2 linked regions of the Coturnix japonica genome follow. The protein of the gene in region 2 purifies or fractionates together with the protein of the main gene of each other region. This does not show direct contact. Links are inferred from orthologs where the notes say so. Each region holds a gene or a part of one and is shown on either strand. Other genes may lie near its edges. The genes, in order: RMND5A and MAEA.

The links.
Region 1: the proteins of MAEA (region 2) and RMND5A purify together in Homo sapiens (affinity purification with mass spectrometry; 5 studies listed by BioGRID and IntAct, counting the BioPlex papers as one, with this or other methods). This does not show direct contact. The link is inferred for Coturnix japonica from reciprocal best matches to the Homo sapiens genes MAEA and RMND5A.

Annotation. Positions count from the first base shown.
Region 1 is NC_029519.1:77,639,856-77,643,677, reverse strand, and holds part of RMND5A (E3 ubiquitin-protein transferase RMND5A), read right to left. Parts: intron 3,572-3,822; exon of another isoform or gene 3,541-3,571; coding exon of another isoform or gene 3,463-3,540; intron 3,334-3,462; coding exon 3,199-3,333; intron 3,029-3,198; coding exon 2,928-3,028; intron 365-2,927; coding exon 198-364; intron 21-197; coding exon 1-20.
Region 2 is NC_029519.1:76,606,832-76,610,653, forward strand, and holds part of MAEA (E3 ubiquitin-protein transferase MAEA), read right to left. Parts: intron 2,711-3,822; coding exon 2,588-2,710; intron 136-2,587; coding exon 59-135; intron 1-58.

The sequences.
Region 1 (3,822 bases), about 1.0 Mb from region 2:
GCCCATCAAAACCTGAATATCTGTGAGGGATTAGGAACAGTTAGTTGGTTTATGCTATGAACAAAAGCTGGTGTCTTCACTTTTAGATTGTATGAAGGAAACAAGCAGAAGTGGAAGATATTGGAACATGATTTGTATATAACTTCCACATGCCACTTCCAAGTGCCTTGGTCACAATGAGGGAAATAAAACCTTACCTTTCTGATGGTTTAGGGCAAATGGCTGGAAGTTCTTCGCGTACTGAAGTGCTTCTCTTTGATTTGCTGTTCCTCCCATCAATAAACTAATGAAATATAACCTGTGTAGTTTGAACTCCAGCGAACTATTTTGTGCCATAAGCATTTCTCTGTTGGATACTGCCCACCTGGAAGAAACGAGGAGGTACAAAAGGACACGGAACAGGAGTAATTAGATGTCAGCCCACACGATATCAAATTATTACAATTATCAAGCATCTATTTCAAGATGACTGTTCCTTGAACTTAGCCTACATGGAGCACAGAAAAAGAGTTAAGATCTTTTACAAGTAAGAGTCATGGTGCACACACAATATATGTACAACATGCTGCATAGGTTAGCCTCTGCCTTCTAACACAGCAACTGGAACGCAAAACTGATTTAGACATAATAGAAGGTAGAAACATAGGAATGAATTTCAGCTATTTGAATTAATAGCACTGAACCTTAACAATTACAGTCTTCTGCTGCATGCTATACAGCTTTGACCAACACTGTCAACAACACGTTTTTCAACTTCCTCATTCCCCAAACATCATCTGCTGAGCCACTGTGTTTATGTGTACGTTGCCCTGGAGAGGGGAAGTTCATCTATGGAATCATCAAAGAACAAGTCCATGCACTGCAGGTACAAGGGGAAGAGAAATCAGTCTGGATACAATACTTGGCTCTGCTGAAAACCTGATCTGTGTTATTTTCAACTGGTTGCAATAGAGACTGTTTTTCCAAACTAGCTTTCAGGCAATCTTTCTGGCTTTTTTGTACTCTGAGTGGCAGCACTGATTTGGATGAGAAGAAAGCAAATACAGAAGCAAGGCCTGAGGTGTTTGGACTAGCGTGTTCCATTCCCATTCAAAGGATTTGCAATAGAAAGAGAAAAAGCAGAAAATGATGGTTAAAACATTTAACTCACATGCTCCCCACCACAGTTTAACATCGTCAGTAATCACAACACCTGTCTTCCTAACGCCTATCAAAATGATGCTCAGAGCACTTTCAATTCTGTGACTCAAATCTACCTGAAATTTTTGAAGTACATTGCACACTATACAAACCACAGCTCTCCTCTAGATCCTATGTGGAATTGAGTTGGGATGAATCTTACAAAGCCTAACGAAGATTAAATGAGCTTAATCCACATCCCAAAGGTCACAATGAATACCAAAACCTCTCTGCTTTACAGACACAGAGGCAGAGAGTTTTTGCCCTGAAAAGTCACACTATAAGCAGAAACGAGGCAGGGTGGGGGAGGGAAGCCAGCATACAAACTGAACTAACAATACACTCCATTCTTCATCTAATTCAGCTGTCTAGGGAATAAGGCTTCCTTTGAAGAAGGACCATTCCTTCTCCTTTGTTTGAAAAATATTTAACACATTGCAGGAATGAAAAGCCATGGCTAAGTTGCAACGAATAAGACACAGGGCCTGGGTAATCTGAGCTAAAATGAACACAGTGAGTTGAGGTATATAGACACACAAGCAATAATTTACTGCTCCTCAGAGAGAGAGCATCCTTTACTTTAGGTTTGAATATCAGAGCACCCTGCATGTATCGTAGATGACAATGACCTCTGAACTGACACACACCTGAGCTGGTATTAAGATCTGGACTGAAACACATTTTCAATGTTTTGTTCCATGCCTTTCACATTTAAAAGGTTGCTAAAAAGCTATTCTTGCTTTTGAGTAAGCTTACCAAAGCCACAAAAATAGGCTGAGGGTTGGTTTGCTACTTTGTTGTTTTTAAAATAAAAGCTGTTCTGATTTGTACCAAATAGATATGTACCCACTCCTGGAAACTATAAGACAGTAGTTCATGAGATATTCCATCATCTTTCCCTTACAGAAGCATCCTACGTGTCTAATGGTTGTGAAGTCTATTAAGGTGATGAAAACATCTTAGTCTAAGGCTGATCGATAACATCTCAGCCACTCTCAGACTTCAGGTAATGCTGAATGCTCAGACAGAACCTGCAACTCTTGGACTCACCAAGTTGTTTTGCTCAGATCACACTTTCAGCCCACATTTCCCCTTGTAGCCCACACACCAGAAACACTTCCTGGCCACCAGGGCCATATCTCTGTCCCAACACTAATGACCACCTACCTGGCAGCAGTAGCCCTTACAGGTCATAGCTATTCTTTCACTCCCTCTTCCCAGCCTTTATCTACACTAAACAGGGAACTGTCTTGAGGAAAAAGCGATACAGTTGATCCTAAATCTAAGTTTTGCTCACCACCGGGGCTCAGTGAAGCAAAGAAGACTTGGTGATACCCAACACCTTTATTAAGTCCTATTATCCTCAACAGCTAGACCTTTGTGCATAACATTCTATAGTGTTTCACTGTAAGTACAGTAAAGAACCATCATGACAGATCCCTGGTTAAGTTTCCTCCCCAAACCTTCAATTAACTCTTAATCCTTTGTGGTTGGACTTAATAATCTTTAAGGTCTTTTCCAACCTGGGCAATTCTATGATTCTATTACTCTTAAGAAAGAGACCCTTAGTTAAGCATTGACCACTGGGAGGAACAACAAGGGAACAACTGGGAAACGTTTGCTCAATAATGGGATGTCACAAAGAACAAATGAGGACACACCAAAACAAAGATTAAATATTTAAAGTGAAAAACTATGGATTTAATAAAAGAATTTTTAAAAAAGAGGAAAAAAAAGAGCAGACTCACTCTAACGCAGGTCTCAGAACTCTAACTTTTAATGCTTCCAATATTCGATTTAATTCCACAAATGGTTCTTTCTGACTCTGATCTATTGATAGACCAGATTCCTGAAAAACAAAGGCACGCTTCAGGTTAAAGCCTATAAAAGACACAATTAAACTACTGTTTTCCTGACAGTTTCAATATTCCCCTGGAAAATTAACATTCAGATAAGGATGCTACCACAAAGCACAACGCTCCACATTCAATACCATTCAACATCCACACTTATCATTACCTGACACAGTTCCTCGGCCACATCCAACATCCCCTGCCGGAAGAAGTGCTCCACCATCACCTCGTTGAGGATCCGCTGGCTGTCAGCCTGCCAGCACCCATCTATCCCCACGCTGCTGATGTCAGAGTCGAAGTTCTGAAAGGTACAAATTAACATTTAATAGGTTGGAACAAAGAGCCCCGTGTAATTTTGCTCGCATTACGCAGGACACCTATGTCTCCACTCCGGTGCTTTCTGCCTATTACTCAGTTTGCCCTTAATTACCTCCTGTTCAAAGTGAAATGTATCTGTCAGCTGCTTCATTATCTCCTGTGTACAGAAGACATCCTTTGGCTTGCTCATCTCACGTCTCAATATTATCCACTGTAAGGAACTACACTGACAAATTACAAGTTAGCTAGCAAATGAGAAATGGAGTTAACTAATAAAGACTGCAATGGGTTTCTGCAGAAAGTATCTGCAGAAAAGAGTTTTCCATACATGAAAACTGAACAGCATAAAGAACAGAAGACAAAAATCGCCCACGTCAAAATCAGAATAGCATTATCAATGCATCACTGTCACTACAGGGCACCAAATTAGAAGTAAAAGTTTTAACTCGACAATTTTTGACATAATTGGGGG
Region 2 (3,822 bases):
TACTGATGAAGCATTCTATTGCTGTAAGAAACATTTGTAAAACATCCTGTTTTCATACCTCACAGCATCCAGTCTCTTGTTCTGTCGAATGAGTTCAATGAACTCCTGAATCCTTAGGCTGAACTCCAGACAGCTCTGAAATCAAAGACAAGACAGGGTCTCAGATGGTGTCAAAACCATGCTTTTCTCCAGATGTTAAATACTATGTGTGCACAACAAAGAAGTGTTAACTACATGCAACCTTGTTTGCTTGCTTTTAGGTATTCATGCAGAGAAAGTAGAAATGCTGTCTACAGACAAGACAGCAACACAATTCCCTAAAAGCAAACAAAAAGCTCCTTCCAAACTTCAGTATTTACAAAAAGTGAACATTTCCTTGATGACTGAAATCATCATTTTTTGGGATGCAAGTAAGAGTAGTAGGTGAGTTCTCAGTACTATCTTAAAGTTAAAAGCAATAACTCAGTAGAAGGTTGGGGCCGATTTAAGACATGAGAGATTGACCCAAAAGACTGCAAGGAAGAAATAAGTCTTTAAACTCATTCTGAAAGCACCCTCCTCTTATGAAAAGCAGCACTGAGTCTAGACTGCTGTGGTCCTTCTCTCCCCAGCTCCCTTTTTTCCAAGCTTCTAACCCACTGCTGTTGTCAAAACATCTAAAAGCCATGCTGAAAACAAATCTCAAACAAGGAAACCAAGTGACATTTACCTGCTTGGGGAAAATATAATTTGAAGCTTAATGAAATTGACAGTGTCTCTTTAAATCAAATTTCATCATCAGTTCACAAAAAATTCTGTATTAAAAATTTTATATATATATAGAATTAAAAAGGTTCTCCCTCCTAAAAGAACAAGCCATTATGCCTCTATATAAGGACACAGTCAACTATTTTATTACCCTAACAACCAAAAACTAGAACCCTTTCTGAATCCCAAAAAATAACTGTGTTTTTGAATTACACTGAGTTGCTCTGTTAGGCAAATCTATTTTCTGTTCCCCAAAGCTTCTGATGAACAGTTGCCTTTTGTTTATCATCCATCAGTACAATACCATCCAAAACCCCTCAGTGACTTCAGGAGGAATTTGAGCAACTCCAAATTTCAGTTAATTAACTGCATGGGGTCTCTGATGTGCACATTACAGCAATTTCTTGTCTTGAGATTAGAAATGTCAGCTGCTTAAAGTGATACGTTCTGTCCTGTTAAGGTACATTTGTTTAAGGAGTGGGAAGTACGTTACTTTCCAAGTACACCTTTCTCTGTGCTCAAGTCCATGGTTTGCAAAGAACTAAGATTTCTTTTTATTTGCAATTTTCAAATAGAACTCAAGATCTTTTGTTCAGATCTACACAAAAGCCTTATTTAGAATATTGGTTATGTTGGTTTCTATTAAAGAAAATTAATAAAACTTTCCAAATTGTTAATGATACCAATCCCAATGGCTCAGTTATTTCATTAACATGTTTCAGCAGTAAAGAAAAGTCTCACAGCTCTCCCCTACCATCCCCCAAGAAAACCCAATCTGCAGAGACTGTCTGAGTAGGGCTTGCAGTATTTTTCTTCCATTCTCAAAGGATGACAGGGAAAATTTTTATCCTTACTTGTTTGGCAAAGATCAGGGATGAAAAAAGATATTCGGCTGTTAATTTCTTCCATAACTTGCTGTATTAAAATTATATAGATACATATGTTTTCCCAGTGGTATAGCTATGCAATGCTGTTTACATGCCAATTCTGGTTTTCCTTTAATGGTTTTTCCATTAAAAGATCATTTTCTTTAGGGTAATCACTGGTCATTTTACTCTTGTGTCCCATCTTTGGTTCATTCTCATTTTGGTGCCCGATTGACAGAGAATGTCACTCATTGCTTATCTTTAAGGATACTTAAATATCTTTTCCTTAAAGAAAGCTTAGTTTGAAAACACCAAAACCACTGAAGGAAGTAGAGATTCTGATTAATACAGTCAAACAGATTTCTGCAAGCCCTGAAAGAGACTATAACGTTGTTTTTAAATGTAGAATTTAAGAGTCAAGGAAATTTAAACCAACTGCACAGGAACACAGTGAAATAGCATGTTCAGGTCACACTCAGTACTCAATAGCTAGAAGTCAACTTACCGTGTTTGTTACTCGATAAGACTTGCTTTTATTTTTGCAAGAAGGTCCTCAGTACTTCCCTCATAAAAAGCTACTTCTTCACTCAAGTCTGCTTAGTTTTATATTTACATATATTGCACTTCAAAAATATTAAGACAAATCCATATGATATTCCTCTCAGACACAGGCTTACAAATTAGTCTCACTGTTCATATATGAACTATGAGCTACATTCTCAGCTGGATACTGAGTGCTATACACACAGATTCACATGCTCTGAGACACTACTACACACATCGCATTAAAGTTTGGCATTCATTTGGGCTAGCTCAGCACCAGTAACCTTAACAAATACATTTTGTACTTACTTCCCTTACTTTTACATATGGCTTTATTCACAACCTATAATTTAAACCAAATTGACCATATCAAATAACCAAATACTTTAGAGAACCGCTGCTTAGGCAAAACATTGACATTGTTTTCATACCTTCATTTTTCTGAGCCTGGATTTGTTATCATGACACCAAGCCAAGCAAGTCATAGTCTCTTGTCTTTCCAATGACTCTTCCACTTCTTTAGCAGTCAAAAACATCTCAATATTTACTAAGTCCTTTAATAGAAAAGAAAAAGGAAAGCACAGCTTGTTAAATCATACTGATATTTTACACAGCAATCCATTTAACCAACTGGAGCACGGAGATATAAAAGACTGTTTCAGAGACATCTTTAAAGGACTTTACTTAAAATTTGCTGTAACAATTTTGTGAACACCGCATCTCCATGTGCCAAGACAGACTCTTCTAAACCCATTTATGCACCAGAACTAGGAAAAAGAAATAAAGATGACATCTTGGAGCTTTGCGAGGAAATGGACAAGATCTCACCAGCTGGGTGTAAATCCACATTTCCAAGAATACTTGGTATCCACAATGCTTGTCTTACATCAGTGGACTATGCCAATGTCTATAGTATATAGTTCCTCCATTGCTTAATGGAAGTAGATATGTTTAAAGAGGAGCATCTGGTATCAAGTTTGTCTGGAGCAAGCCTTGTACCTCTGCTACTTCACTGCAAGCTGCTTTACACATCTGTACCAACCAAGGATAACACAACCCAGGAAGATTTAAGATCTTCTAGGCTAGCAAGTTATTTTTTCCCATATATATCTCAAAAAGCATTTAGTTTGTTTCCAAATTATATGAATAAGATTCACTCTGAACTGGCACTACCAGAAGTTATTTCTGAGCTGCATAAACATATCATGCTGTTACAGTTCACACTTTGTTAAAGAAGATACTCTGTGAGATACCATAACTCAATACACAAGCAACAAGCCGCTATCAAATATTTGATTAACACACCAGTTTGGAACAAGTTCACTTTTATGGAGACTTCACAGCAAAATGCAGAAAATCATACAACTGAAATGCTAAGTATGACAAATGTTAGAGTAGCTGCAGTGAACCAAACCACTCTCTGGAATAGGTGGCATTTTCAGCTGTTAGAACAGCTGAATATATTCAGTCTTAGACTTCCCCGAGGCAAACTTAAAAAGCAGAGAAATGGTGCCAGGCATATCACATTCACAGCTTGCATTTCATCAGCCAATTTTTCCTTATAGATACAGGAAGCCTCTTACTGGAAAAGCAGGCCAGATTGGACTAGTTTTGTCAGAATGGTTATTTACAGAGATGCAGACATGTTTCATGTACTTCTAAATTA